Linked DNA regions of Anolis sagrei. The protein of the gene in region 3 interacts with the protein of the main gene of each other region in a biochemical or structural test. Links are inferred from orthologs where the notes say so. Each region holds a gene or a part of one and is shown on either strand. Other genes may lie near its edges. The genes, in order: STIP1, FKBP5, HSP90AB1 and PTGES3.

Region 1 (8,210 bases), on a different chromosome or scaffold from region 3:
CCCAATACAGCCCGCTCTATCACCTTACCTAAGAATGGAAGATTAGAGACGGGACGATAATCGGCAAGGGTCATAGGGTCCAGGTTGGGCTTCTTCAACAAGGGACGGACCCTTGCCTCTTTTAGGTTATCTGGGAAAACCCCTTGTTCAAGAGGGCTTTGCTGGTATGTTCCTGCCTGGCAGAATGGGGTTGGGTTAGATGGCCTTTGGGGAACTTGTCCACTCAATGGGATATTATGTTGAATATTTGTGGCTATTGTGTCCCTTTCCAACCTCCTTTCCTCCTCTTCCATGAAACAATTCAACACACCAAAATTGAGCTAAGGAGCAAACGGCCTCTCTTTCTTTTTCGGTGCGGCCGGCTGGGCTAATTTTAGGTAGGTTGCCAAGGGTACCACCAGGCCAAGCCAGAAGCCATGCTTTCTAATTATAGAGGGAAATTAATTCCTCTCCTGCCCAGAGCAAAGCAAAATGTCAACAGAACGGAGTTGAGTCTGTAGGTAAAATTCCCCCAAGATACGTCACATAACATTTTGGGAAAAAAATTAGACTTAATTAAAACATTCAGCGTTCTTATGGCTGATGACTGCCTGTCCTACAGTTTCATATCCAAGCCAAAAAGCCAAATATTCCACTTGGGCCTTGACCCAAGTGGAATTTGGGATTTTTTTTCTCCTGTTACTTACTTAGGGGATGCCTCATTGGACGAGTAGGATAGTCTTCCATGATTAGTATTCTTGTGGATCCGTAGGTGGCTGTGGAGCCCTTTTCTTGACCTGCATCTTCCCCCACAGTGAGGTCATTGGTTTCCAGGTGGAAGGCTGTCTCGGTTGGGGTTGGCTTGACACGCCTTCCTCCTGGTACGTTTCTCTCTTTCGCCCTCCATTCGTGCCTCTTCAAATTCTGCAGCACTGCTGGTCACAGCTGACCTCCAGCTGGAGCACTCAAGGGCCAGGGCTTCCCAGTTCTCAGTGTTGATGCCAGAGTTTTAAAGGTTGGCTTTGAGCCCATCTTTCAATCTCTTTTCCTGTCCACCAACATTCCGTATGGACCAAACTTGCCACGAATATTCCATATGCCCAAATATGAACACAGATGGAGTTTGGGGGAAATAGACCTTGACATAGAATCATAGAATCAAACAGTTGGAAGAGACCTCATGGGCCATCCAGTCCAACCCCCTGCCAAGAAGCAGGAATATTGCATTCAAATCACCCCTGACAGATGGCCATCCAGCCTCTGCTTAAAAGCTTCCAAAGAAGGAGCCTCCACCACACTCCGGGGCAGAGAGTTCCACTGCTGAACGGCTCTCACAGTCAGGAAGTTCTTCCTAATGTTCAGATGGAATCTCCTCTCTTGTAGTTTGAAGCCATTGTTCCGCGTCCTAGTCTCCAAGGAAGCAGAAAACAAGCTTGCTCCCTCTTCCCTGTGGCTTCCTCTCACATATTTATACATTTATACATTTGGGAGTTGTAGTTAGTAAAGGTAAAGGTTGTCCCCTGACATTAAGTCCAGTCATGTCTGACTCTGGGGGTGGTGCTCATCTCCATTTCGAAGCCGAAGAGCCGGCGTTGTCTGTAGACACCTCCAAGGTCATGTGGCTGGCATGACTGCGTGGAGTGCCGTTACCTTCCAGCAGGAGCGGTACCTATTGATCTACTCACATTTTGCATGTTTTCGAACTGCTAGGTTGGCTGAAGCTAGGGCTGACAGCGGAAGCTCACGCTGCTCCCCGGAATCGAACCTGTGACCTTTCGATCAACAAGCTCAGCAGCTCAGTGCTTTAACCCACTGTGCCACTGAGGGCTGTACTGGGATTTATAGTTCACCTACAATTAAAGAGCATTCTGAACCCCGCCAATGACAGAATTGGGGCAAACTTCCCATGCAGAACCCCCATGACCAACAGAAAATACTTAAGGCCATCCAGTCCAACTCCCTTCATCAGGGCAAGAAAACATAATCAAAGCCCTCCTGACAAAGAGCCATCCAGGTAGAGATATAGATAGATGTATATGATTCACACACACAGAGATATAGTATCATAGATTTGAAAGGGATCCTTAAAGAAGGACAATGATATGTTGTATGTTCCAGGGTGGGCAATCCAGACACTCTCCACATCAACACTGACAAAGAAACAGCAAGAAATACTGTTTACCCACAAGCAGAAAGAAATTACATATATTAGAAACCAACACTTTCTCATTATTTTATTTTCCAGATCATCAAACTGGGCCACAGCAATGCGTGGCAGGAAACGGCTAGTAATAAATAAATATTTGAGAGGAAGTCACAGGGAGGAGGGAGCAAGCTTGTTTTCTGCTTCCTTGGAGACTAGGACGCAATGGAACAATGGCTTCAAACTACAAGAGAGGAGATTCCATCTGAACATGAGGAAGAACTTCCTGACTGTGAGAGCCGTTCAGCAGTGGAACTCTCTGCCCCAGAGTGTGGTGGAGGCTCCTTCTTTGGAGGTTTTTAAACAGAGGCTGGATGGCCATCTGTCACGGGAGCTTTAAATGCAATATTCCTGCTTCTTGGCAGAATGGGGTTGGACTGGATGGCCCATGACTGTGAGAGCCGTTCAGCAGTTGAACTCTCTGCCCCAGAGTGTGGTGGAGGCTCCTTCTTTGGAAGCTTTGAAACAGAGGCTGGATGGCCATCTGTCAGGGGTGCTTTCATAGAATCATAGAATCATAGAGTTGGAAGAGACCTCATGGGCCATTCAGTCCAACCCCATTCTGCCAAGAAGCAGGAATATTGCATTCAAATCACCCCTGACAAATGGCCATCCAGCCTCTGCTTAAAAGCTTCCAAAGAAGGAGCCTCCACCACACTCCGGGGCAGAGAGTTCCACTGCTGAACGGCTCTCACAGTCAGGAAGTTCTTCCTCATGTTCAGATGAAATCTCCTCTCTTGTAGTTTGAAGCCATTGTTCCGCGTCCTAGTCTCCAAGGAAGCAGAAAACAAGCTTGCTCCCTCCTCCTCCCTGTGACTTCCTCTCACGTATTTATACATGGCTATCATATCTCCTCTCAGCCTTCTTTGAATGCATTATTCCTGCTTCTTGGCAGAATGGGGTTGGACTGGATGACTGTGAGAGGTGTTCAGCAGTGGAACTCTCTGCCCCGGAGTGTGGTGGAGGCTCCTTCTTTGGAAGCTTTTGAACAGAGGCTGGATGGCCATCTGTCAGGGGTGATTTGAATGCAATATTCCTGCTTCTTGGCAGAATGGGGTTGGACTGGATGGCCCATGAGGTCTCTTCCAACTCTAGGATTCTATCATTTAAGAGTTTCCTGACCGTGAGAGCCGTTCAGCAGTGGAACTCTCTGCCCCGGAGTGTGGTGGAGGCTCCTTCTTTGGAAGCTTCTAAACAGAGGCTGGATGACCATCTGTCAGGGGTGATTTGAATGCAATATTCCTGCTTCTTGGCAAAATGGGGTTGGACTGGATGGCCCATGAGGTCTCTTCCAACTCTAGGATTCTATAATTCTCCCTCTCCCATTCAGTAAAGTCTTTGCTGGAAAAATGCGGCAAGCTAATGACAACAATGAGGAGGAAATTCAGCCAATGGGAGCACCTCCCGCTGACGTCTCCACCTTTCCCGTCCAATTAGAATACACTATAGCTGGCCAATGAAACGCTGGAGGCGGGATCTTGGAAAGGCAGAGAAATCCGCCTTACTTTTTGTACGCCCCGCCCCTTCACTCTCAGTGACCCAATCGCGTTTTAGCTCCCATATTGTGGGCGGAGCCGAGGAGGAAGGCGGGATTTCGGAAGACGGACAGGAAGAGAGGCGGATAGGTCTTTAGCTCCGCCCCTTCACGATCCGTCACGCTCAGTGGCCCAATCGCATTTTAGCTCCCCGATTGTGGGCGGAGCCGAGGAGGAAGGCAGGATTTCGAAAGACGGACAGGTAGAGAGACGGACAGGTCTTTAGCTCCGCCCCTTCACTCTCAGTGACCCAATCGCGTTTTAGCTCCCATATTGTGGGCGGAGCCGAGGAGGAAGGCAGGATTTCGAAAGACGGACAGGTAGAAAGACGGACAGGTCTTTAGCTCCGCCCCTTCACGTTTCGTCACTCTCAGCGGCCCAATCACATTTTAGCTTCCATATTGTGGGCGGAGCCAAGGAGGAAGGCAGAATTTCGGAAGACGGAGAGGAAGAGAGACGGACAGGTCCTTAGCTCCGCCCCTTCACGCTGAGTGGCCCAATCGCATTTTAGCTCCCCGATTGTGGGCGGAGCCGAGGAGGAAGGCAGGATTTCGGAAGACGGGCAGGAAGGGAGACGGACAGGTCTTTAGCTCCGCCCCTTCACGCTGAGTGGCCCAATCGCATTTTAGCTCCCCGATTGTGGGCGGAGCCGAGGAGGAAGGCAGGATTTCGGAAGATGGGCAGGAAGGGAGACGGAGAGGTCTTTAGCTCCGCCCCTTCACGACGCGTCACGCTCAGTGGCCCAATCGCATTTTAGCTCCCCGATTGTGGGCGGAGCCGAGGAGGAAGGCAGGATTTTGGAAGACGGACAGGAAGAGTGACGGACAGGTCTTCAGCCCCGCCCCTTCACGCTCAGCGATCCAATGGCGTTTTAGCTCCCGATTGTGGGCGGAGCCAAGGAGGAAGGCAGGATTTCGGAAGACGGACAGGTCTTCAGTCCCGCCCCTTCCCGCTCATTTACCCAATCGCATTTTAGCTCGCCAATTGTGGGCGGAGCCGAGGAGGAAGGCGGGATTTCGGAAGACGGACAGGAATAGAATCCGTTTGGGTGTATAGAAGGGGCGTGTCCAAGTTAAAGGGAAAGAGCCAATGAGCGTCGAGGGGCGGGGCTAGAGGGTTCTAGCAGGTTCCAGAAGGCGGGGTGGGAAGAGAAGCAGGCGGCTCGACTCAGTGAGGGAAGTGGCAGCGAGGAAGTCCGGCCGGCGCGATGGAGAAGGTCGGGCCTAGCTTGGTGTGGCGGGGAAGCCGGGTGGAGGGGGGAAAGGGGGCCTGAGGGGGACGCAAAGGATCTCGGGAAGGCCGCGTGGGGTGGGGGAGGGGCTCGGAGGGGGTCCCCTTAACGGAAGTGGGTTCGCGCAAGGCATGGCGGGAAAGGGAAGCGTGGGCCTGGGAGGGGAGCTTCACAGAACGTGTGAATGTCAGATTTCAAGGGGGGATTCCTCTTGGTGGAGAGAAAGGGGGTCAAAAGCAGGGCCTCCAGAGTTGAGAGGATCTTTGAATATGAAATAATAATAATAATCCACTTCAATGCAAAACATGGAGTCTCCTCCTCTGGAGGTTTTGACTCGGAGGCTGGATGGCCATCTGTCGGGAGGGCTTGGGTGGTGTCTTCCTGCCTTGCAAAAGGGGGGATGGACTAGATGGCCCTTTGGGGTTCTCTTCCAACTCTGATTCTACTGATTATATTATAATGTAATACAATCTTCTATCTATATCTATATATATCTATATCTGCTCTCTGCTATCTATATCTTCTATCTATATGGGGTTCTCTTCCAACTCTGATTCTACTGATAATATTATAATGTAATACTATCTTCTATCTATCTATCTTCTATCTATATCTATCTATCTATCTAAATGGGGTTATCTTCCAACTCTTATAATGTAATGCTATCTTCTATCTATCTTCTATCAATCTATCTATATCTATCTATCTATATGGGGTTCTTTTCCAACTCTGATTCTACTGATAATATTATAATGTAATACAATCTTCTATCTATCTATCTTCTATCTATATCTATCTATCTATATCTATATATCTATATGGGGTTCTCTTCCAACTCTGATTCTACTGATAATATCATAATGTAATACAATCTTCTATCTATCTATATCTATCTATCTATCTATATCTATATATCTATATCTTCTATCTATATCTGTCTATGTATATGGGGTTCTCTTCCAACTCTGATTCTACTGATAATATTATAATGTAATACAATCTTCTATCTATCTATCTTCTATCTATATCTTTCTATATGGGGTTCTCTTCCAACTTTTATAATGTAATACTATCTTCTATCTATCTTCTATCTATCTATCTATATATCTATCTATATCTATATATCTATCTATATCTATATCTATATGGGGTTCTCTTCCAACTCTGATTCTACTGATAATATTATAATGTAATACAATCTTCTATCTATCTATCTTCTATCTATATCTATCTATCTAAATGGGGTTCTCTTCCAACTCTTATAATGTAATACTATCTTCTATCTATCTATCTATCATCTATCTATCTATCTATATCTATCTCTATGCGGTTCTCTTCCAACTCTGATTCTACTGATAATATTATAATGTAATACAATCTTCTATCTATCTTCTATCTGTATCTATCTATCTAAATGGGGTTCTCTTCCAACTCTTATAATGTAATACTATCTTCTATCTATCTTCTATCTATCTATCTATCTATCTATATCTATATCTATCTCTATGCGGTTCTCTTCCAACTCTGATTCTACTGATAATATTATAATGTAATACAATCTTTTATCTTCCATCTATCTATCTATCTATATCTTCTATCTATATCTATCTATCTCTATGGGGTTCTCTTCCAACTCTGATTCTACTGATAATATTATAATGTAATACAATCTTCTATCTATCTATCTACTATCTATCTATATCTATATATCAATATCTTCTATCTATATCTATCTATATGGGGTTCTCTTCCAACTCTGATTCTACTGAGAATATTATAATGTAATATAATGTAATAATGTATCTTCTATATATCTATATCTTCTATCTATATCTATATCTATCTATCTATCTATCTATATCTATATATAACAATGCTTTGTGCCTAATAAGTTCCTTAAAAACAAAAGAACCAATGAATGAAATCACACCAAATTTGGCAACAAAACGTCTCACAACACAAGGAGTGACCATCACTCAAAACACTATGACTTTGTCATTTGGGAGTTGTACTTTCTGGGATTTATAGTTCACCTATAATCAAAGAGCACTCTGAACTTCACCAATGGTGGAATTGAACCAAACTTGGCACACAGGACTCCCTTGACCAACAGAAAACACTAGAAGGGTTTGGTGGGCATTGGCCTTGAGTTTTGGAGTTGTACTTCACCTACATCTAGTGTGGACAATGATGGACCTGGACCAAACTTGGCACGAATACTCAATATGCCCAAATATAAACACAGATGGAGTTTGGGGGAAATAGATTTTGACATTTGGGAGTTGTAGTCACTGGGATTCACAGTTCACCTACAATCAAAGAGCATTCTGAACCTCACAAACAACAGAATTGGGGCAAACTTTCCACACAGAACCCCCATGACCCACAGAAAATACTTAAGGATATCCAATCCAACTCCCTTCATCAGGGAAAGAAAACATAATCAAAGTCCTCCTGATAAAGAGCCATCCAGCCATAGATAGAGATAGATAGATAGATAGATATGATTCACACACAGATAGAATCATAGAATCAAAGAGATGGAAGAGACCTCATGGGCCATCCAGTCCAACCCTCTGCCAAGAAGCAGGAATATTGCATTCAAAGCACCCCCAACAGATGGCCCTCCAGCCTCTGCTTAAAAGCTTCCAAAGAAGGAGCATCCACCACACTCCGGGGCAGAGAGTTCCACTGCTGAACGGCTCTCACAGTCAGGAAGTTCTTCCTCATGTTCAGATGAAATCTCCTCTCTTGTAGTTTGAAGCCATTGTTCTGCATCCTAGTCTCCAAGGAAGCAGAAAACAAGCTTGCTCCCTCCTCCCTGTGGCTTCCTCTCACATATTTATACATGGCTATCATATCTCCTCTCAGCCTTCTCTTCTTCAGGCTAAACATGCCCAGCTCCTTAAGCCGCTCCTCATAGGGCTTGTTCTCCAGACCCGTGATCATTTGAGTCGCCCTCCTCTGGACACATTCCAGCTTGTCAATATCTCTCTTCAATTGTGGTGCTCAGAATTGGACACAATATTCCAGATGTGGTCTAACCAAGGCAGAATAGAGCATGGGGAGCATGACATCCTTAGATCTAGACACTCTGCTCCTATGGATGCAGGCCAAAATCCCATTGGCTTTTTTTGCCGCCACATCACATTGTTGGCTCATGTTTAACTTGTTGTCCACGAGGACTCCAAGATCTTTTTCACACGTACTGCTCTCGAGCCAGGCATTTCCCCCATTCTGTATCTTTGCATTTCATTTTTTC
Region 2 (7,642 bases), on a different chromosome or scaffold from region 3:
AGTAGCATCATTACAAACTAATAAATTATTAAGCAAAAATATAAAATTATTAATAAAATAAGATAATTATCTAAACAAACATATAAGGTCCAGAAAAGCCAGCACTACTGAAATGCTTAAAATAAGTCACATTATTTAGCAGCCTGCAGGGTTGAGGTAAAATTGCCAAAAACTGAATTACTGTGTTGCAAAATGACGCGTGTCTAAAAACTGTCTCCAACAGGAAGTGCCTGGAAAGCTCTGCCCTAAAGGGTTCCAGATTCTGGAGGATTTTGGAAGCTAAGCAGGGCCAGCCCTGGTCAATATTTGGATGGGAGACCAAAAATGGAGGCTACATTTCAGAGGAAAGACTGTGAAAAGTATTCTTCGCGGAAGACATTGTTGGGGTCACCAAAAATTTACAGGCGGCTTGAGAGCACAGATGCAACAGAAGAACAATAATTGTATGGACAATCCCTGAGTTACAAAGGACGCCTAGTTAAGAACAGAGGTGAGACAACAGGAAGTGAGAGAAATCTACCCCTTGGAAGGGAAAATCACTCTTGGAAGAGTTATCCTGGGGAAAAGGAGTCTCAATTGAAGCTTTATCACCAATCCCTGTTTCAACAACAAACCAATTTTTCAATAATAATAATACTTTATTTGTATACTGCCCAAAGCTTATAGACCAGGCATGGGCAAACTTCGCCCCTCCCTCCAGGTGTTTTGGACTCCAACTCCCACCATTCCTCACAGCCTCAGGCCCTCACAGCCTCAGGAAGGGGCCTGAGGCTGTGAGGAATGGTAGGAGTTGGAGTCCAAAACTCCTGGAGGGCTCATGTTTGCCCAAGCCTTGTCTAGACAGACATACAGACAGACTGGAGTTACACTTACAAATGTAAATAAATCCGACTTACATACAAATTCAACTTAAGAACAAACCTACAGGACCTATCTTATCCGTAACTTGGGGACTACCTGTATGACATCAAGAAGTGTTATACATTGACCCACAAACTACAAAAGATGTATTTCCCAAGGCTTTAATGGCCAGAATCACCGGGTTTCTGTGAGTTTTCCAGGCTGTATGGCCATGTTCCAGAAGCATACTTTCCTGACGTTTTGCCTGCATCTATAGCAGGCATCCTCAGAGGTTGTGAGGTCTGCTTGGGAAGCCCACGGAGTTAGCTGACGGCGGGTTTGAATGGGGAAAACAAAACGCCTCTTTTCCCTCCAATAAACAAACCAACCAACCTCTGGTTGCTATCTTTTCAATTTCCTGACAATATGAAGAAGGGGGGGGGGGGGGGGAGAGAGAAAGTAATATGAGATCTGAAATTCCCTCAAAAGGAGGGGAGAAAAGCCTGTTATTCTCCACCTCCTCCTTACATAATGAAGATGAGGCACCAAGAGGAGAGAGAGAGGAAGAGAGAGGACGGCTCATCACAACATCATTAACTTTGGGTTTTTGTGAGTTTTCCGGGCTGTGTGGCCATGTCCCAGAAGCATTCTCTCCTCACGTTTCGCCTGCATCTATGACAGGCATCCTCAGAGGTTGTGAGGTTTGTTGGAAACTAGGAAAATGGGGTTTAAATATCCGTGGAAGGTCCAAGGTGGGAGAAAGAACTCTTGTCTGTTAGAGGGAGATGTGAATGTTTCAATTAGAATAATACAAGTTGGAAGAGAGCACATGGGCCATCTAGGAGGGCGACTAAAATGATCAAGGGTCTGGAGAACAAGCCCTATGAGGAGCGGCTTAAAGAGCCAGGCATGTTTAGCCTGCAGAAGAGAAGACCAAGAGAAGACATGATAGCCATGTATAAATATGTGAGACTAATTCATAGGGAGGAGGGAGCAAGCTTGTTTTCTGCTGCCCTGGAGACTAGGATGCGGAACAATGGCTTCAAACTACAAGAAAGGAGATTCCACCTGAACATTATGAAGAACTTCCTGGCTGTGAGAGCTGTTCAGCAGTGGAACTCTCTGCCCTGGAGTGTGGTAGAAGCTCCTTCTTTGGAAGCTTTTAAACAGAAGCTGGGTGGCCATCTGTTGGGGGTGCTCTGAATGCAATTTTCCTGCTTCTTGGCAGGGTGTTGGACTGGATGGTCCACGAGGTCTCTTCCAACTCTATAATTCTATTATTCAATCCACTTTTTCCAACCCTGACAGATGGTCATCCAGCCTCTGTTTAAAAGCCTCCAATGAAGGAGCGTCCACTACACTCCAAGGCAAAGAGTTCCACTATTGAACAGCTCATACCGCCAGAATGTTCTTCCTAATGTTCAGGTGGAATCTCCTCTGCTGTAATTTGAACCCATTACTCCGAGTCCTAGTTTCCAGGGCAGAAGATAGGAAGCCTACTCCCTCTTCCTTATGGCACTCTTTCACATATTTATACATGGCTACTATCTCCTCTCAGCCTTCTCTTCTGCAGGCTAAACATTCCCTAGCTCTTCAAGACACTCCTCATAGGGATTCATAGTCTCCAGGCCTTTGATCATTGGCCACCTTGATTAACATTGAATGGCCTAGCAGTTTCAAGTTCTGGCTTCTTACTGCCTGAGAGAAAAGTCAGGAGCCCCTGGTGGTACAGTGCCGGCAGGACTGAAGACCGACAGGTCACAGGTTCGAATCCGGGGAGAGCGCGGATGAGCTCCCTCTGTCAGCTCTGGCTTCCCATGCAGGGACATGAGAGAAGCCTCCCACAAAGGATGGTCAAGCATCAAAACATCCTGGCATCACCTGGGCAATGTCCTTGCAGGCGGCCAATTCTCTCACACCAGAAGCGACTTGCAGTTTCTCAAGTCACCAAAACAAGAGAGAGAAACGACAGAAGAGAATGCTTCTGGAATATGGCCATACAGCCTGGAAAACTCACAACAAGCTTCGACAAGACATCATTAACTTTTCCCTCCGTGGTAAACGTGGAGTTTGTACAATGGGAAGAACAGAAAACACACGGAGTACAGAACACAACAACACATGCAAAGCAGGAAGGGGAAGAAGCAGAGATGGATCTGGGTTGTAGAAGTTTTCCGGACTGTCTGGCTATGCTCCAGAAGCATTCTCTCCTGACGTTTCGCCTGCATCTATGGCAGGCATCCTCCGAGAGGTTGTGAGGTCTCAGGAGCGAACATGGCCATACAGCCCGAAAAACTTACAGCAACCCAGCGATTCCGGCCATGAAAGCCTTCGACAATGCAGAGATGGATCTATTATCCCAAGCGTAGTATGGTATCACATTTCCCCCTCCAGTTCCAGCCTTGCTCCCCCTTTCCTCAGCCTACGAGCAGCGTCTCCTCCTCACTCACAGCGATAGCAATGCTTCCCTACGACGCCTCTTGGAAGAGTTATGGATGGGCTGATACCGCGAGGGGGGAAGGCGCTCTCTGGGCACAAGGTGGGCCCCCTCCCCTTGGGAACCAGCGCGCCTCTTCCTCTCCACGGAGCCGGGAAGGCAGCCAATGGCCCACGGGTACCTGCTCCTCGCCCCGCCGCTCCTCCTCCTCCCTCTGTGGCTCCTGCCGAGAATGACACCCGCTACCGGCGCTGGCCGCCAGTCCCCCCCGGGTGAAGCCCCGCCTCGCGCTCCCATTGGCCCCCGCCCCTGTCCGTCCGGGTACCGCTTCCCCGCCATTGGCCGCTTCTCCTTTTGTGTGTGTTTGTGTGAAAACATGGCACCGCCTTCCTTTTTTCACAACCCGCTGCCTGAGGGAAGGGGTCCCAACTTGTCTCTGGAGTGGGATAGAACTCGCGTGTCACTTACTCGGTGCAAAATGAAGACACGTGTCCTCTCCCCTGCGCCTCACATCCTTTATAACACTGTGGAAAGCATTCTGGTGTCAAACTGCCTCCATTCTACAGTGTAGATGCAGCCTCAGTCTGCATCCATCCGTGTTGACTTTATTATACTCCTTTGCAGTTACTTGCCCTGGCTCAGTGCTATGAGCTGTAGTTTTACAAGGTCCTCAGCCTTCTCTACAGGTGCCCGACCAATCTATAACTCCCAGTATTCCATAGCACTCAGTAATGTATCAAAGTGTGCTAATTCTACAGTGCAGATGCCACCTCAATCTGCATAATCCATGTTGACTTTATTGTACTGTTATGCAGTTAATTGCCCTGGCTCAGTGCTATGAGCTGTAGTTTTACATGGTCTTCAGCTTTCTCTACTGGTGCCTCACCAAACTACAAATCCAAGCAGGCATGTAGCCAGGGGGAGGGGGGCTTGAGGGGCTTCAGCCCCCCCCCCCCCCCCGAAATTCTCATGGTGGTTCACGAAAAGGCCTTACTGGTGCATTATTTAAACTGTTATGTTTATTCATATCACGATCTGATCACCATGCTCAATATATCCCATATGCATGGGGGTATTGGGGTAATGATGCAAAAGGTTTGCTAGGTTAGACCCTCTTTCACTCAGACTCAGCCCCCCCCCAAACTCAGCCCCCCCTGAAACCCCCCCTGAAAAAAATTCAGCCCCCCCCCCAAACGAAATCCTGGCTACGGGCCTGACTCCAAGTATTCCATAGCACTCAATAAAGTGATTTCAAAGAGTGTTAATTCTACAGTGTAGATGCCACCTCAATCTGCATAATCCATGTTGACTTTATTATACAGTTATGCAGTTAATTACCCTGGCTCAGTGCTATGAGTTGTAGTTTTACAAGGTCTTCATCTTTCTCTACTAGTGCCTCACCAAACTACAACTCCCAGTATTCCATAGCACTCAGTAAAGTGGTTTCAAAGTGTATTGGTTCTACAGTGTAGATGGCTCAGTGCTATGAGTTGTAGTTTTACAAGGTCTTTAGGCTTTCTCTACTGGTGTCTCACCAAACACCCAGTATTCCATAGCACTCAGCCATGTGGTATCAAAGTGTGTTAACTCTACAGTGTAGATGTCACATCAATCTGCAGCCATCCATGTTGACTTTATTATACTGTTATGCAGTTAATTGCCCTAGCTCAATTCTCTGAATTGTAGTTTTACAAGGTCTTTAGCCTTCTCTACTGGTGCCTGTCCAAACTACAAATCCCAGTATTCCATAGCACTCATTGATGTGGTGTCAAAGTGCATTAATTTTACTGCAGAGATGCCACCTCAATCTGCATCTGTGGCATTAAACTGTCTTAATTCCACAGAGCCTCTCTTCTCCTAACCCGAATGACTGACCATTCAGATTGTATGCAGTAAATTGCCATGACACAATACTATGAGTTGTAGTTTAACAAGGTTTTACAAGGTTTTTAGCCTTATCTACTGGTGCCTGTCCAAACTACAGCTCCCAGTATTCCATAGCACTCAGTAAAGTGGTGTCAAAGTGCACTAATTCTACAGTGCCTCTCTTCTCCTAACCTGACCATTCAGACTGTATGCAGTTAATTGCCATGACTCAATACTATGAGTTGTAGTTTAACAAGGTGTTACAAGATTTTAAAACTTCTCTACTGATGCCTCACCATACTACAACTTCCAGTATTCCATAGCACTCAGTAAAGTGGTGTTGAAGTGCATTAATTCTACAGTGTAGATCAGGCATGGGCAAACTTCAGCTCTCCAGGTCTTTTGGATTTCAACTCCCACAATTCCTAACAACTGGTAGGTTGCTAGGAATTGTGGGAGTTGAAGTCCAAAACACCTGAATGGCTGAAGTTTGCCCATGCCTGGTGTAGATGCTCCATGAGAATCATCCTGTTTTCTAGTCAGTATGGATGGAAGCAGACTGAGGGTGCATCTACATTGTAGAATTAGTACACTTTGGTACCACTTTACTGAGTGCTATGGAATACTGGAATGTGTAGTTAGATCAGGCACCAGTACAGAAGCCTAAAGATCTTGTAAAACTACAACTCAGAGCACTGAGCCATGGCAATTTACTGCATACAGTATAATAAAGTCAACGTGGATGGGTGCATCTACACTATGGAATTAATGCACTTTGATACCACTTTACTAAGTGCCATGGAATACTGGGAGGTGTAGTTAGATCAGGCACCTGCTGAGAAGCCTTGTAAAACTACAATTCGCAGCACTGAGCCAATGTAATTAATTGCATAACAGTATAAAAAATCAACATGAATGAATACAAACTGAGGGTGCATCTACGCTGTGGAATTAACACACTTTGATACCACTTTACTGAGAGCTATAGAATACTGGGAGTTGTAATTAGATCAGGCACCCATTGAGAAGCCTAAAGACCTTGTAAAACTACAACTCATAGTACTGAGCCATGACAATTAATTGCAAACTAACAGTATAATAAAGTCAACATGGATGGATGCAGACTGAGGGTGCATCTACACTGTGGAATTAACACACTTTGATAGCACTTTACTGAGTGCCATGGAATACTGGGAGTTGTACTTAGATCAGGCACCCGTTGAGAAGCCTAAAGACCTTGTAAAACTACAACTCACAGCACTGAGCCATGGCAATTAACTGCATACTAACGGTATGATAAAGTCAACATTGATGGATGCGGACTGAAGTTGCATCTACACTGTGGAATTAACACACTTTGAAACCACTTTACTGAGTGCTGTGGAATATTGGGAGTTTGGTGAGGCACCAGTAGAAAAGCCTAAAGACCTTGTAAAACTACAACTCATAGCATTGAGCCTTGGCAAATAACTGCATACAGTATAATAAAGTCAACATGGATGGATGCAGACTGAGGGTGCATCTACACTGTGGAATGAATGCAGTTTGTCACCACTATCATTGCTATGGCTCAATGCTATGGAATCATGGCGGGGGCAAGAGTAGTGAGACCTCACCAAACTACAGCTCCCAGGATTCCATGGCAGTTAAAGTGGTGTCAAACTGTTGAACTTCCACAGTGTAGATGAAAACGTGCTCTTCGTGTGGCTGGGTTCATGGGCTGTGTTTTTGTCCCACCTTTCTCCGGATGGGTACAAGGGCCCGAGGGCTCCCTCCCTCTCTTTCTCGGCGTGGATTGCGCCCCGAGTGTTTATGTTTTCTTTGTTTTTCCGGGAAGGTCCGCCGTGTGTTACGAAACCTTGATCTTTTTCTCTCTCTCTCGGCCAAGACTCAGCCGCGCGGCTCCAGTGTTTACACGCACAAAGGCAGCAAAGCGAAGGGGAACCGGAGAGGGCATCTAGAGGGGCCCTTTCCCCCACGGAAAGGAATACTAAACCGTCATCCCTGAGGAAGCTGTGGTCGAAGAACCTAGAAAGGTGAGTAGGAGTCGTGGGTCTTGCCTTGGGGGCATCTACACCTTAGAATGAATGCTTATTATGCTCTCAGTGCCTCAATGGAATCATGGGAGTTGTCGTTTAGGGTGGCAACAGCATTTTTTGACAAGACTCAAGGGAGGCCTTGTAAAACTCCAAATCATTGAGCTCTTGCAGTTAAAAGGGATAGAATTACAACTCCCAGGATTCCATAGCATTGAGCCATGGCAGTGAGAGTGATGTCCATCTGCATTCATTCTAGATTCACCTAATACTTCATCACACTATGAATCCAGTTTAAATTCACTTTCTGCCTCCTGCAAAATTCTGGGGTTTGTAGTTTAGCGAGGCTGTTAAAGTATCCTCCCTAAACTACAAACCCCAGAATTCTGCAGGAGGCAGCAACTGGATTTAAATTAGATTCATTCTCTAGTGTGATGAGATCACAAATGCAGTATTTCTCAAT
Region 3 (8,021 bases):
CATAGAAAGCAAGTGGGCTTGAAATTTGTCCTCCTTTAGCCAGCACCGTGACAGTGAAGGATTATTTACAAAGCTGATCTAGAAAGATCACTAAATAAGCTCTGTGTGAACTGCTATCCTGTTGCTATGCTACATAGACAAACTTGGTACATCAGCCCTCCACATTTGAGGGCTTAATTAATATGGCTTCTGTAGGAAACACAAGGTCCTCCAGTGCAACTGTGGACCGACCAGTTGTTGTTCTGGAGGAACTAGAGATTTCTAAACAGAACATGTCTCTAGAGAGATCTCTGTCCTCCCACACAACTCTATTACCAGTTTCCAGTGGATGTTGACTATATAGAACTAAAAGACAGATGCCTAGAACTGTTCTCTTGGCATTTTATAAAAAGTGTTTTTTTTTTTCATTTTGTGGGGGTCCTATGCTCATAATGCCAGAAAATATGGAGGGTTGATTATATTGCTAAGCTGATACAATGTAGATCGAGTTCAGGTGGTGAGATCTTGGCAGTCTTGTTCTTGAGTCCTTATTTGGAAAGAGGTGGGATCAAAACTAAAATGAAGTAAAGAAAATTGTTGGGATTTCTCTGAATTGAAACTTTTTTGTTTCAACCTGTCAGTATCAGATTTTCACTTTTCCCTTCTTCCAATGTAGGGTTTATGGCTTTTTCTAAAATATGCATTCGCCCCATTGAATAAACCTATTTTGAGTTGCATCCCATAGACTCTTTAAGGTTTGTAGTTTGGAGAGGTATGGCATTAGTTTTCAAACTTTTGGCCCTCCAATTGGTTAAAAAAAATTTCTTTTTGCATATTTGCATGTATATAATGAGGAATCTCAAAGATAGGACCCAACCCTAAACATGAAACTCATTTGTTTTTCATATGTACCTTTATATGCAGTTTAATTTTACACAGTATTTGAAAAATAATTTTGTGCATGAAACAAAGTTTATATGCATAAACTGAAGGCAGTTTCATACACAATATTTTAAAAATAAATTTGTGCATGAAAGGAGGTTTGTGTACACTGAACCAACAGAAAACAGAAATGTCACTACCTCAGCCACACATTTCAGTACCACCAACAGAAAAAAGCACCCATGAGTCTAAGGCACAAGCCATTATTAAAAGATGTTTATGAGGGGAAAACTGCATCATAGAATTGAATAAATGTGTGTGTGTGTGTAAATAGATGTCTGAAACTCCAGGTTTTCTCAAGTTTACCATTTGTAATGCTATTTTCTCTTCTATGTTATGCACAAGTGTGTGTGTGTGTGTGTGCATATTCTTTTTTTAAGTATAGTTTTAGTAAAGATCTTTAATTTTTACATGTATGTGTGTATCTACAAAAACCTGTGCATGTATACACATTGTAGATGCGAGGAATCCCTCCCCTGTAGTCTCAAATAGAAAAGGTTTGTGAATGTACACCTTTTCTACTGGAAACTAAAGCACGCATGAGCAAACTTCGTCCCTCCAGGTGTTTTGAACTACCAAGTCCCACAATTCTTAACAGCCAGTTTGCCCAAGCTAGGAATTCCTCATGTCCACAATTAGTAACAATTAGTAGTAAAACTATTTTCTCTTCTTTTTTAACTATATACATTTGTATGCATATCTATCTATCCATCAATAACTGCATATGTATGTATGTGTGTGTGTGTGTGTGTGAGAGAGAGAGAGAGAGAGAGAGACAGAGAAACTTTATTTTTGAAACCCAAAGCTAGGAATTCATCATGTGTGTGACGAGCAATATTTTCTCTTTGGCTACGTATGCATCTCTTACATATATGTGCGTGCACACAATTGTGGCAGTACTTTCGTTTAGGTTCTCTCTCTCCTATGAGCTATATCTGTATATATGCATGTGGGTAGGCACGCACTCTCTCTCCCTCTACATATATATATATGTACACACATGTGCTCTATTTCTGTGGGTAGGCACGTGCTTTTGCTTTCACTCTCCACATATACATATATTAGCCACCCCCTGCCATGCGTTGCTGTGGCCCAGTCTGTGTATATGTGTTTTGTGTATGTGTATATATGTGTGTTTGCATATGTATATATATGGTTTTGCACATGTATTGTAATGTATTTTTTATTTTTACTTTTTAAGTCTCTTCTGCTGTGTTTTTCAGTGTATTTATGAGTGACGGTCACTTGTTGGCCTGATATGTGTATTGTGTCCAAATTTGGTGTCAATTCGTCCAGTGGCTTTTGAGTTATGTTAATCCCACAAACGAACATTACATTTTTATTTATATAGATCCTAGCCGTCCCCTGCCACACGTTGCTATGGCCCATTCTGTATATATATGCTTTGTGTGTATATATATTTGTGTATATGTGTGTGTGTTTGCGTCTATATATATGTTTTTGCTCATATGCTGTAATGTATTTTTTAATATTTTTTTTTGGCTTTTGAAGTCCCTTCCGTTGTGTTTTTCAGTGTTTTTATGAGTGATGGTCACTCGTTGGCCTGATACGTGTATTGTGTCCAAATTTGGTGTCAATTCGTCCAGTGGTTTTCGAGTTCTGTTAATTCCACAAACGAACATTACATTATTATTTATATGGAAGATAGATGCGTACACACATGTGCGCCATGTATCTCTGCTTGCCTATTCCACAAAGAGGCGCGTTGTCGCAATCCAGGCCTGGCAGCAGGGAGGAGGCGGCCATGCCCACGCGTTTCCCTCCCTCCCTTTCCACGCGAGGGAGCTCCCTCGCTCCCCCCTCCCCAATCCGCCATTGTCGCAAAGGCCTCCCTCGCCTCCTTTCCCTGCCTTGTTGTATTCTGGGGGCGACCTGCTTGCTTTCCGTCTTTCTCTAAGCCTTTCTTTCCCTCTTTGCTTTCCTTCCCTGAGGGCGGCTCAGGAGGTGAGGCACGGCGAGGCCGAGGCCTAGCTCCAAAGGCTCCCTCAGGGACGGATTCCTTTCTTCTGAGGGCGCCTCCTGACCGGGAGCGGGACTCATTTTTCCCCCTCCCTCCACTCTCAGAGCCGGGGGCGATTCCACTCCGCTCCTCCATCTTCCTCCGAGGGGGAGAAAAGGACCGACCTTGATGGCGGGCGGGCAGACGGGCGGGAGGCGAGCCTTGAGCGCGGGGCGGCCTTCGGAGCAAGAGAGCCGGGAGAGGAGGCGGGAGCGCGCGGGCCCCCCTTTTATATCCGCCCGGCCCGGCCTCGCGCCGCTCGCCCCTCGGCTCCTTCCGCCTTAAAGGGGCCGCATCCCTTTGGAGGAGGGGAAAGAGTGCCTCTGTACACTGTGGAATGGAGCACTTTTATAGAGCACGGAACTATGGCAGCTGAAGCGGGGTCGACCAGGCCTGGCCAAACTTGGGCCCTCCAGGTGTTTTGGACTCCAACTCCCACCATTCCTAACTGCCTCAGGCCCCTTCCTTTTCCCCTTCAGCCACTAAACAGATGTTGACCATTTCCACTACCTTGGCAGCCACCTCTCCACCAAAGTCAACATCGACACCGAAATACAACACCGCCTGAGCTCCGCGAGTGCAGCATTTTCCCGAATGAAGCAGAGAGTGTTTGAGGACCGAGACATCCGTAGGGATACCAAGGTGCTTGTCTACAAAGCTATTGTCCTCCCAACCCTGCTATATGCCTGTGAAACATGGACTGTCTACAGACGTCACATGCAACTCCTGGAACGATTCCATTAGCGCTGCCTCCGGAAAATCCTGCAAATCTCCTGGGAAGACAAGCGGACAAACGCCAGCGTGCTGGAAGAAGCAAAGACCACCAGCATTGAAGCGATGGTCCTCCAACAGCAACTCCGCTGGGCCAGCCATGTTGTCCAGATGCCTGACTACCTTCTCCCAAAGCAGTTGCTCGACTCTGAACTTAAGAACGGAAAACGGAATGTTGGTGGACAGGAAAAGAGATTTAAAGATGGCCTCAAAGCCAACCTTAAAATCTCTGGCATAGACACTGAGAACTGGGAAGCCCTGGCCCTTGAGCGCTCCAGCTGGAGGTCAGCTGTGACCAGCAGTGCTGTAGAATTCGAGGAGGCATGAGTGGAGGGCGAAAGAGAGAAACGTGCCAGGAGGAAGGCGCATCAAGCCAACCCCGACTGGGACCGCCTTCCACCTGGAAACCAATGCCCTCACTGTGGGAGAAGATGCGGATCAAGAATAGGGCTCCACAGCCACCTACGAACCCACAAGGAAACGCATAATGGAAGACCATCTTACTCGTCCAACGAGGGATCGCCTAAGAAGAATACTAAACAGATCATAAAGCATTGTCCATAGAAATTCTGAAGACTATTTTGTGCAGAAATGGAAGGTAGCAGTCAGGTACATAATATGGCCTGCACTATATACCAGCCTGAGGAATGCAAGGCTGGGATGAAATTGCTGGAAGAAACATTAACATCCTTAGATATGCAGATGATACCACTTTGATGGCCGAAAGTGAGGGGGTGCAGAGGAGCCTTCTAATCAAGGTGAAAGAAGAAAGCGCAAAAGCTGGGTTGCAGTTAAACATCAAAAAAACCAAGATTGTGGCAACAAGAATGATTGACAACTGGGAAATAGAGGGAGAAAACGTGGAGGCCGTGACAGACTTTGTATTTCTAGGTGCAAAGATTACTGCAGATGCAGACTGCGGCCAGGAAATCAGAAGACGCTTACTTCTTGGGAGGAGAGCAATGTCCAATCTCGATACAATAGTGAAGAGTATAGACATCACACTGGCAACAAAGATCCACATAGTTAAAGCAATGGTATTCCCCATAGTCACCTATGGATGTGAGAGCGGGACCATAGAGAAGGCTAAGTGAAGGAAGAAAATTAACTTGAAATGTTGCAGTCTCGTGTAATATTGAGTGTTGCTTCTGTAAAGGATTGTTCCCTTGTTCCCCGTAGTAACCTATAGATGTGAGGGCTGGACCATAAGGAAGGCTGAGTGAAGGAAGACAGGTGCTTTTGAACTGTGGTGTTGGAGGAAAATTCTGAGAGTGTCTTGGACTGCGAGAAGATCCAACCAGTCCATACTCCAGGAAATAAAGCCCGACTGCTCATTGGAGGGAAGGATATTAGAGGCAAAGATTAAGTATTTTGGCCATATCATGAGAAGACAGGAAAGCTTGGAGAAGACAATGATGCTGGGGAAAATGGAAGGAAAAAGGGCAGACCAAGGGCAAGATGGATGGATGGCATCGTTCCATCCATCTGAGGACAGGGAGTCTGGCGTGGGCTGGCCCATGAGGTTACAAAGTCAGCTGCGACTGAGCGAATAAACAACAATTGAGTGTTGGGGGGGGGGGGGGAAACCAAATGCCACTATTGTGTGTTGTTTTGATGTATTTTAAACAATTTTATTGTTTTTAAAATAGTTCTAAATTTAATTCTATTTTCATGTGTTGTCAAAGGCTTTCATGGCCAAAATCACTGGGTTGCTTTGAGTTCTCTAGACTGTATGGTCATGTTCCAAAAGCATTCTTTCCTGATGTTTCTCCCACATCTATGGCAGGCATCCTCAGAGGTTGTGAGATCTGTTGGAAACTAGGCAAGTGGGGTTTTATATATCTGTGAAATGTCCAGGATGGGAGAAAGAACTCTTGTCCACTTGAGGCAAGTGATTAGCATTGAATGCCCTTGCAGTTTCAAAGGCTGGCTGCTTCCTGCCTGGAGGAATCCTTTGTTTTAATGTTGAAAACTCACAGCAACCCAGAGGTTTATACTCTCAGTCAGGTATTGCTTTTACCTGATTTAATGTTACATTGTATTATAATGCTTTTACCATTGTTCATTACTTTGAGTCTCTTGACTCAAATCAGAAGATAAGCAAATATAGTAATAGTAAATTGGCATTGTCGGTTGTTTACACCATTTACACATTTCCAATACCATACTCTTATTATATTGTCAAAGGCTTTAATGGCCAGAATCACTAGGTTGCTGTGTGTTTTCCAGGCTGTATAGCCATGTTCCAGAAGCATTCTCTCCTGATGTTTCTCTCGCATCTATGGCAGGCACCCTCAGACATTGCGAGGTCTGTTGGAAATTAGGAAAACCATTTTCCTAGTTTCCAACAGACCTCACAACCTCTGCGGATGCAAAGGACGCAAAACAATGGCTTCAAACTGCAAGAAAGAAGATTCCATCTGAACATTAGGAAGAGCTTCCTGTGAGAGCTATTCAGAAGTGGAACTCTCTGCCCTGGAGTGTGATGGGGACTCTTTCTTTGGAGGCTTTTAAACAGGCTGTCTGGCCATCTGTCAGGGGTGCTTTGAATGAGATTTTTCTGCTTCTTGGAAGGGGGTTGGACTGGACGGCCCACGAGGTCCCTTCCGACTCTATGATTCTAAGTAGTTTGTTTTCTGCAGTCTTTGTTTTCTTCTCCAGTTTGACTTTTGGAGAACTGTGCTTGGAGAAAGAGGTGATGGCCCTCTCTGCTGATGCTTTCCTCTGCAATGGTGCTGCTTCTCTTGTGGGGCCCACCAAGACCTTTCCCATTTAAAGGGAAGAGCCATGGGCGGCCCTTCCTGGCGGTGACTCATAACCTCGCCTCTTTTTCGCCCATCTTTTAATAACCACATTATCGTCAATGGAGACCAGGAAATAACGCGAGCGCTAATTATTATTATTCTCTGAAGGCGCAGGGCTTTCAAAAAGGAGAAAAGAAGCAATTCTTTCTTAAACCACAGCATCTTGGCTCGGAAGCTCTGCTTGCTCTTTCCTCAGGAGGGCTGAACATGCTTTCTAGACACGCTCTGACGCAGGCTTGCTCCTATTGTAGGCCTCTGCTCTTCTGCGCATGCGCCTGATCACACAATTATTTCCCCCCTCCTTCCTTGAGAGCTTTCGTTTCTCTCCAGCTCCATCTTACAACGTGCTCTCCGCGCGCATGCGCATTTCCCCTCACGCAAATGGGGCGGAGCGAAGAGCACCTGTTTCTGATTGGAGCGCAACGGCGAGGCGAAGGGGATTCTTTCCTATGATATAGACGGCGGAGGGAGACGGCTGCTTGTGCTGCGACTTCTTTCTAGCATTTTCCAGAGGGCGCTTTGTCCCCCTCCTTCTCTGACGCCTTTCGGGTTCCTCTCGTTCTAGGAGGTCCCTGAGAGGGAGGGGGAGAGAGAGAGAGGGGGGGGGGGAAGGGCACACTCTCTCAGCCTCAGGGGTAGGCCCCGCCAAAGCGCTGCTGGATCAATCTGGCCAGGAAAGCCATCAGAGAAGGCTTCCATAGGCCCAAAACGGCATGAAGGCCCACAGCCAGGCCTCTAAGGGCGGAACGGGGTTTACACCCTGGACATTCATAGAAGAGACCTCATGGGCCATCCAGTCCAACCCACTGCCAAGAAGCAGGAATATTGCATTCAAAGCACCCCTGACAGATGGCCATCCAGCCTCTGTTTAAAAGCTTCCAAGGAAGGAGCCTCCACCACACTCCGGGGCAGAGAGTTCCACTGCTGAACGGCTCTCACAGTCAGGAAGTTCTTCCTCATGTTCAGATGGAATCTCCTTTCTTATAGTTTGAAGCCATTGAAGTAGGTTCCACGTCCTAGTCTCCAGGGAAGCAGAAAACAAGCTTGCTCCCTCCTCCCTGTGACGTCTTCTTACATATTTATACATGGCTATCATATCTCCTCTCATCCTTCTTCAGGCTAAACATGCCCAGCTCCTTTAGCCGCTCCTCATAGGGCTTGTTCTCCAGACCCTTGATAATTTTAGTCGCCCTCCTCTGGACACATTTCAGCTTGTCAATATCTCTCTTGAATTGTGGTGCCCAGAATTGGACACAATATTCCAGATGTGGTCTAACCAAAGCGGAATAGAGGGGTAGCATGACTTCCCTAGATCTAGACACTATGCTCCTATTGATGCAGGCCAAAACCCCATTGGCTTTTTCTGTCGCCACATCACATTGGCTCATGTTTAACGTGCTGTCCACGAGGACTCCAAGATCTTTTTCACACGTACTACACTCGAGCCAGGCGTCCGCCGTTCTGTATGCTTACATTTCGTTTTTCCTGCCAAAGTGGAGTATCTT
Region 4 (7,944 bases), on a different chromosome or scaffold from region 3:
GCTTGTGGAAGGCCAGCAGGGATGGGGCCATCCTGGCCTCTCTTGGGAGGTTATTCCACAGTAGTAGCAGCCACCAAAAAGGCCCTCTTCCCATGTTCCTACCAAATGCACTTGAGCGGGTGGTGGTACAGAGAGAAAGCCCTCTCTAGTTGATTGTAGGTGTCTGACAGGTTCATCGAAGGAGCACTTTGAACTGTGTCCTGAAACATTTTGGCAGGGGAAGCTGTCTGCTCCCTATAGCTAGCCCCAGTAAGCAATCTGATTGCTGCTCTTTGAACCAACTGAAGTTTCTGGGCACTTTTCAAAGGCAGCCCACATAGAGTGCATTATAGTAGTCTAACCGGAATGTAACCTAGGTATGTAACTTATGACATGATGGGATTTTACCAAATGGGAATTGTTATGTAGCTTGGAGATCTTAATATGCCAATATACTTGGATGCTTCTCAACACATGTAGAAACTATAGAAAAGACTCCAATTTTAATTATTGATGAAAGTGATTGAAGGCCTAAGGAAGATATATTGCCAAACCTCATTTGCTGTTAAGATGGCTGTTGTGAACACATTATCCATACACTCCCAATTTTACAGTTGCTACTGAAAAATCACTCCAACGAATAGATCCATTGTGTGAAGAATTTCATCAACTTCTGCTTGTTTCTAAACCTTTAATGAAACTCTTGCCAAGTGTAGATTTCTCCTCACGTTTTTTAACATATTTGTTATTCAACAAGTGATATTATTATCCTAATAGGAATAGGCATGTTTCATCCATACTTCACCAATTATTTTACAAGTCCTCTTCTCTCAGTTTTAAATACTGGTCTCTCAACTAATTAGATATGGTTAGGAATATTGAAAAACTATTACAATCTTATAACAATTGTATATTATATATTACATGTAATATTACTAATAAAATTGCAGTATAGTGGCATAGTACAATACAGTACTATATAGTACTAATATTGCAGTGTGCTAATAATATATATATAATATTGTAATACTAATATATTAAATATAATTACTACTGATAATATATAATATATGTTAGAAACAGTATCATACGAAAGCTGACTGGCACAACCTGGGGATCACAACCAGATACAGTGAAGACATCTATCCCTGTGCTATGCTACTCTACTGCTGAGTATGCATGCACAGTGTGAAACACATCTCACCATGCTAAAACAGTAGATGTGGCTCTTAATGAGACATGCCACATTATCATCGCGTGTTTGCGCCCTACACCACTGGAGAAACTACACTGTTTAGCCGATATTGCACCACCTGACATCTGCCAGGAAGTAGTAACCAATAGTGAAAGGACCAAAGCAGTGACATCTCCGGCCCACCCCGTTTGGGTATCAGCTAGCATGCCAACGACTTAAATCAAGAAATAGTTTTCTAAGATCTACAGAGACACTCGCTGGAACACCTCAGCAAGCGAGAGTCCAAAAGTGGCAGGCTCAAACTCAGAACCTCAATCAATGGCTGATACCAAATGAGAGACTCTCTCCTGGGCACACAGAAAACCGGGCACCTTGGAAGGCACTGAACAGACTGCGCTCTGGCACCATGAGATGCAGAGCCAACCTTAAGAAATGGGGCTACAAAGTTAAATCCATGACATGCGAGTGTGGAGAAGAGCAAACCACAGGCCACCTACTCCCATGCAACCTGCGCCCTGCTACATGCACAATGGAGGACCTTCTTGCAGCAACACCAGAGGCACTCCAATTGGCCAGCTAGTGGTCAAATGACATTTAATAGAATACCAAGTCTGTGTTTTTTTGTTTTTTAATGCAATACACCTGTTTTGGTTCGCTCTTGACACGATAAATAAATAAATATACTGTTTAATTATAGTATATTTATAGTATATTTTAAATTGTAATGTTTTTGATTCTAAGCTGGGATAAAAATAAATAAATAATCCATGTTTTTAAAGTAACATTTCTAGGACACCACATTAATTCAATTTCTAGCCTCATATGCTGCACTGGTATCTTCTCTCACTAATTTTGCACCTTGCTTTTCTTTGTCCCCTTTTCTCCTGACTTCATCTCTCACTCTGGGAGCCTCAAAAGAAAGTGACTCCAACCCTCTTTTCAAACTCACAACAAAACTTGGGTCACAACTTAGACCAGCAACCATTTCCCATCTCTCAGCACATGTTTTAATTTACTCCACGAGACAACTGAATCGCCTGTTGCCAGATTTTATCCTAACCATTACCTTTAACTCCTGTATCCTTTGGGCCCATCAGTTGCATGGCCCAGATTTGTTCAGGCTGTGTTCAAAGAAACATCTCATACTCTCCAGTATAAAGATTTGATAGTGTATTTAATAGAAAATGAGAGTGCTCTGTAAAACCCCAAGGGTTTTCTTCAGATGGAGAACAAACTATCTCCACATGAAGGGGTCCTTCTCCCAGGGCCCTTCCATACAGCCATATAACCCAGAATATAAAGGCAGAAAATCCTACACTATCTGCTTTCTTTAAATACCAATATGTACATATATGTGTACACACATATATATGTGTGTGTGTATGACTGATATATGAGATAGCCTAAAGTCACAAAGGGGGATTTCATATACATTATATATAAGAAATAAGTTCATGTTATGTGTGAAAAAAAAGTAAATGGTGTCCAATATCATATCATATCATTTTAAATACAATTAAAAACATAACATATAATAAAATCTAAACATATAAAAGTAATATTAAAACCTAACATCAGTACATTATACCTGACATCAACAAATTACACTATATGTAGTAGGCAAAAATCTAAAATAACATAAATCTAAACAAAATATCCACATTAGTTTTGTGAGCCCAGCAAGCAAGGGTTCACAAAACCCAACCAGCAAGGGTTCACGAAACGGTGTGGGTTGGTTATATAGTCAGATGAGGTCACTGGGCTGGTGTGGACCAAAAAAAAGCCGAAATACAAATAGTACTCAACCAGAGGCCCGGCAATGATCTCTCGACCATCTAATCCTCCTTCCCCGGAATATTTTCCCTTGGAATATTTTCAAACTGGGCGGGTGTGGGGTTTGAACCCGTGGATGCCGGATCCGTGCAGCCTGTCGATATGAATAAGAGAACCCGGCCCATCTCCCGCCCCGGCGTCCTCAGGAGACGCCTGCTGCCCTCATGCCTTCCCTCCTTCCTTCCTGGCCCAGCCATTGCTCTGCCAACCCCTCCTCACTCACTCACATGGCAAACGGTGTTAACAGCAGCGGCGGCGGCGTGAGTCTTCTCCGCTCTGTCCTCCGTCTCCCTCCAGAGAGCTAGTCCGGGGAAGCCTTCTTCTCCCAAGGGCGCAGGGCTGAAGGTCCCTCGGCAAGGGCGAGAAAGCGCGGGCGAGGGCAACGGCGCCTCCTTCCTTCCTTCCTTGCCTCCTTCCTTCTCTCCCTCTCCAGGCTCAAAAGCCGAGTGAGGCCTGCTACCCACAAAGCACCGCGCGCTCACCCGCCCGCGCGCGCGCTCTCCCTGGCTCCCTCGCGCTCCTTCTCCAACGACGGCTCCCCAGAAGCTGGTGACGCAGCAAAACGCCCACCCCTCCCTCTTCCCTTCTCCCTTCCTTCCTCCCTCTTTCTCTCTCTCCCTCCCACTGGAGCCCGTCCGACTATGGACGCTGACAAGGGCGCATGCGCACCACTCGCCACCTCCTTGCCGCTTCGCCCTCCTCAACGGCGCGCACCTACCACAAACGGCCGGATGTTTCGTTCTCGCGCATGCGCTCCCTCGTCCTCTGCCTTGCGCACGCGCAATTCCATCTTTCGAGCACGTTCTCTCGAGGCGCCTCCGCCCGTTGGGCCGGGCCGGCTCGCACCCCCGGCGCATGCGTAGTTGCACTTTTCGCGCATGTTCTCCCTCTCTCTAGGCTTGCCAAGCTTCCAAGCACACTCCGGCGCATGCGCCGTAGAAGAAGACGAGCCTGTTCTTGATATTTGCCTCCCCCCACCCTATAAATTGTCAACCAGGTGAGAAAATTAATTCTGCTGGTGAAGTTGAATATTCATAATCATTTATGTCTGATGCTTTGTGTGCATTCAAACAATCAAGTGCATATTCAAAGCCACTGTGTGCACTACTGGGTTGTGTCTTTTCCGGGCTGTAGGCCATATACCAGAAGCATTCTCCCCTGACGTTTCGCCTGCATCTATGGCAGGCATCCTCAGAGGTTGTCACAATATGGGCATATAGCCCAGGAAACACAACAACCCAGTGATTCCGGCCATGAAAACCTTCTAGAACAGTGGTTCTCAACCTACCTAATGTCGCGACCCCTTAATACAGTTCATTATGTTGTGGTGACCCCCAACCATAACATTATTTTCGTTGCTACCCCATAACTGTAATTTTGCTACTGTTATGAATCGTAATGTAAATATCTGATATGCAGGATGGATTTTCATTCACTGGACCAAATTTGGCACAAATGCCTGATACGCCCAAATTTGAATACTGGTGGGGTTGGAGGAGATTAATGTTATCATTTGGGAGTTGTAGTTCCTGGGGTTTATAGTTCGCCTACAATCAGAGAGCTTTCTGAACACCAACAATGGAATTCTATCAGACCTGGCCATACAGAAATACCATGACCAACAGTAAATGCTAGAACGGCTTGATGGGCATTGACCTTGAGTTTGGGAGCTATAGTTCACCTAAATCCAGAGTGCACCCTGGACTCAAACAATGATCAATCTGGACCAAACTTGGCACGAACACTCAATATGTCCAAATGTGGACTCTGGTGGAGTTTGGGGAAAATAGACCTTGACATTTGGGAGTTGTAGTTCCTGGGATTTATAGTTCACCTACAATCAAAGAGCATTCTGAAGCCTACCAAACGATAGAATTAGGTCAAACTTCCCACACAAAACCCCCATGACCAACCATAATACTGTGTTTTCTGATGGTCTTTGGTGACCCCTCTGACACCACCTCGTGACCCCCCCAGGGGTCCCGACCCCCAGGTTGAGAAACACTGTTCTAGAAGACATTGTGTGCACTATGTTGATTTGCTGCAGAAAAAAGGAAGAAAATTGTGTTTGATCCATTGAGTGACCCACACAAAAACTCAGAAGTGAAATAAAGCAGAATTGTTTTTAAAATAGCATAAAATATACATTATTGAGTAGATAGAGATACAGTTAGAGACATGGACCTAACAACATGCTTCAGATCATGAGTTTTTCTCCAAGGACATTTTCATTTAGTCCTTATTGGTGCTTCACAATGTACCAGTATATTGTTAGATGCAGTAGTCAATATTCTAGGTGTGTCTGCTAAAGCCGGCAGTCAGTCTGTCTGTTTCCAAAGGTATTATAAAAACAGTTCCAATCTCACCACAGAATTATTCATGAACACTGTTCCCAACACAAGACCGGGATTCAAGCCAGAGAATACATTACAAACTGGAGGGAGAAAGAATAAGGAAAGTAAAACAGATAGATGAAATGTTTTTTAAAACCTGATTATCCAGCATGTTGACATTTCTGAGGGATAACCATATCCCTACTTTGTTAGCTGGCCCTGATTGTTTCATTCGTGTTTGGGTGCTGCATTTGGGGGTCCTTATGTAGACTTGTCCACAACTGCATGGTATACAGTAGACATTTGCAGTTACAGAAAGGAGGAAACTATGAAAATGAACAAAATGTGGCTACCAGTATTAAAAAACTTTAAAATCAGAACAATACATTCAGAGGAACACTAAAAAAAGGGGAATTTCAGACAGAAAACCAGGGCCAGATAACCCCTCCCAACAAAGGATTCCCCAGACAGGAAGCAGACAGGCTTTGAAGCTGCAAGGTCATTAAATACAGATCAAGGTGGCCAGTTGCAACATTCACACCTGCCTCAAGCAGACGAGAGCTCTTTCTCCAATCCTGGACATTCCACAGATATAGATACCTCACTTGCCTAGTTTCCAATGTACCTCACAACCTCTGAGGATACCTGCCATGGATGTGGATGAAAGATCAGGAGATAATGGTTCTGGAACATGGCCATACATCCCAGAAAACTCACAGCAACCCAGTGATTCCGGCCACAAAAGCCTTCAACAACACAATAATCACCTCTCAGGGTCTCAAAATCAGACTCAACAAGGAGAGTCCGGAGCCCTGGCGAGACAAGTGAAGCACCCCAGATTTTTCCCTAATTTTTCCCAAGTAAAGTCTCACCAAGTTGAAGAAAAGCCACCGAGTTGTATTTATTTTGTCCCAGCTGGTACAGATGTCAAACCGCAATCTCTTGCCAAAGTCGACATGTTTGGGAAGGGAGAAAAGGGTACATTTTATAGAAAATACAGAGTTGTCAGATTCAAACTTCCCGCCCCCTGCCCCTCTGCTGGCTTCGCGCTGATTGGCTGGAGTCATCAGCTGGAGGGAGGTGCGGCCGGCTTAGGCACGCCTCAGCCAATGGAGAAGCCAGCACTGCTTCAGCTCCTGAGCCAATGGAAGTCGAGGAGGCGATACAAGCAGGAAAACAATTAACCGAGAGGAAAATGAGTGGATTAAATGGAACTTAATGGTTTGTCCGATGGCCGGCAATAATCCGGACACTCCTCAAGATGGCCTGGTATTGTCCAGTAGTGTTGAAATATACAAAAGTGGCTGGCACAGCTGCCCAACCTTGATAATCTTCAGTTAAGGATATGGGATCAATTGATGATATCTGTGTGTGGATTTCAGCCGAGGGTGCAAAACAATGAGTGAGTCGGATGGGACATCCTGATCTTCCCTGAAGGCAAAATGTCCCATTGTTGACAAGTGACCAGGTTCACCATGGGGTGCCTTCCTGGGCGGTCATGCTCCGAGACCCAGGATGCACCATTGTTATTGCCATGCAATAAATCTTTGTTGGAGTCCTTAAGTCAATGGGGAATTCATCTCAGGAAATAGGAATTTCCCAAGGGTTTGCCATGCTGGGGTCACGAAAAAGTGGCTTTCCATATTTTTATACATAGACACATATATGGGGTTCATACAGCATGCACAGGGGAAAAGGGGGAAAAGGAAATTAATATAGAGAGTCATAGAGAGTCCAATATCATGAAGTTCATAGAGAGTCCAATATCATGAAATCATATAGTCCCTAAGTCATAAAAGGGAGTCCATGGGGCTTGGGGAAAGAGTTCCAGAAAGTTTCCAAAATGTTTTAAAAGTTGATAAAAGTTGTAAAATCCACAGGAGGCAAGTTGGAAAAGGTGCCCCAGAGTCAGAGTTCTTATGAGGTGACTGCCAGCACTGGAGATCAAGATCCACGGAGAGAACTACAGATCCTTCCTCACCAAGGACCAAGGCGGCCTGCTGATATCTTGGGTATCCTATGGGGTGACCGCGACAGTTTTCCAGGATCGGCAGGCTCACTGGGCATCCATAAAATGGTGGCAACGAGGCAGTATCTTCAGGGAAACAGCTGGGCTCCAGTTTGAGGTTTTGGAGGCAAAAATTGTTATTCCCGGGGCGGAAGGCTTAGTGGAGCGAAACTGAGATAGCCATTAATCTTAGAATTCCCCCGGAGAAGAATGGCACTGATTTTGAAGCGATCCGTTGACTCACGGATACAGGGGCCCAATGGGTTTACGTATCTACCGTTCAGAGGAACGCAGTTTTGGCCTCCCCAGGACGTGAAAATTGCATCCTGGGCAGGCTGGCAGCCATCTGCAGCCTGGGAGAGGAAAGATTTATACTGAGACGAGTTTGGAGGCAGTAAAAGACACAAAGTAACACTATTGAGAGAGAAAAAAATACAATTAATTGGTACTTTATTGGGGGGATTAGTTACAGTGTTAGGAAGGGGAAGAAAATGAAGTAATAAGAAGGCTTCTGGGTTGGAGCTGCTGCTGTGGCCACATTCATGGAGGCTGGCCCAAGTGGGACAATAGAGAACTGAGGAACTCCCTGCTGCAGG

What was found.
Region 1: the proteins of HSP90AB1 (region 3) and STIP1 form a complex in vitro, tested with the Homo sapiens proteins (2 studies listed by BioGRID and IntAct, with this or other methods). The link is inferred for Anolis sagrei from reciprocal best matches to the Homo sapiens genes HSP90AB1 and STIP1.
Region 2: the proteins of HSP90AB1 (region 3) and FKBP5 interact in a biophysical measurement, tested with the Homo sapiens proteins (2 studies listed by IntAct). The link is inferred for Anolis sagrei from reciprocal best matches to the Homo sapiens genes HSP90AB1 and FKBP5.
Region 4: the proteins of HSP90AB1 (region 3) and PTGES3 form a complex in vitro, tested with the Homo sapiens proteins (3 studies listed by BioGRID and IntAct, with this or other methods). The link is inferred for Anolis sagrei from reciprocal best matches to the Homo sapiens genes HSP90AB1 and PTGES3.

What each region holds. Positions count from the first base shown.
Region 1 is NC_090032.1:15,947,507-15,955,716, forward strand, and holds the start of STIP1 (stress-induced-phosphoprotein 1), read left to right. Parts: upstream 1-4,819; 5' UTR 4,820-4,924; coding exon 4,925-4,933; intron 4,934-8,210. UniProt on the Homo sapiens protein: Acts as a co-chaperone for HSP90AA1. Mediates the association of the molecular chaperones HSPA8/HSC70 and HSP90.
Region 2 is NC_090024.1:186,143,374-186,151,015, forward strand, and holds the start of FKBP5 (peptidyl-prolyl cis-trans isomerase FKBP5), read right to left. Parts: upstream 3,525-7,642; 5' UTR 3,459-3,524; exon of another isoform or gene 3,291-3,458; intron 1-3,290. UniProt on the Homo sapiens protein: Immunophilin protein with PPIase and co-chaperone activities. Component of unligated steroid receptors heterocomplexes through interaction with heat-shock protein 90 (HSP90).
Region 3 is NC_090021.1:48,271,451-48,279,471, forward strand, and holds the start of HSP90AB1 (heat shock protein HSP 90-beta), read right to left. Parts: upstream 3,170-8,021; 5' UTR 3,067-3,169; intron 1-3,066. UniProt on the Homo sapiens protein: Molecular chaperone that promotes the maturation, structural maintenance and proper regulation of specific target proteins involved for instance in cell cycle control and signal transduction. Undergoes a functional cycle linked to its ATPase activity.
Region 4 is NC_090022.1:137,197,433-137,205,376, reverse strand, and holds the start of PTGES3 (prostaglandin E synthase 3), read right to left. Parts: upstream 3,572-7,944; 5' UTR 3,237-3,571; coding exon 3,235-3,236; intron 1-3,234. UniProt on the Homo sapiens protein: Cytosolic prostaglandin synthase that catalyzes the oxidoreduction of prostaglandin endoperoxide H2 (PGH2) to prostaglandin E2 (PGE2).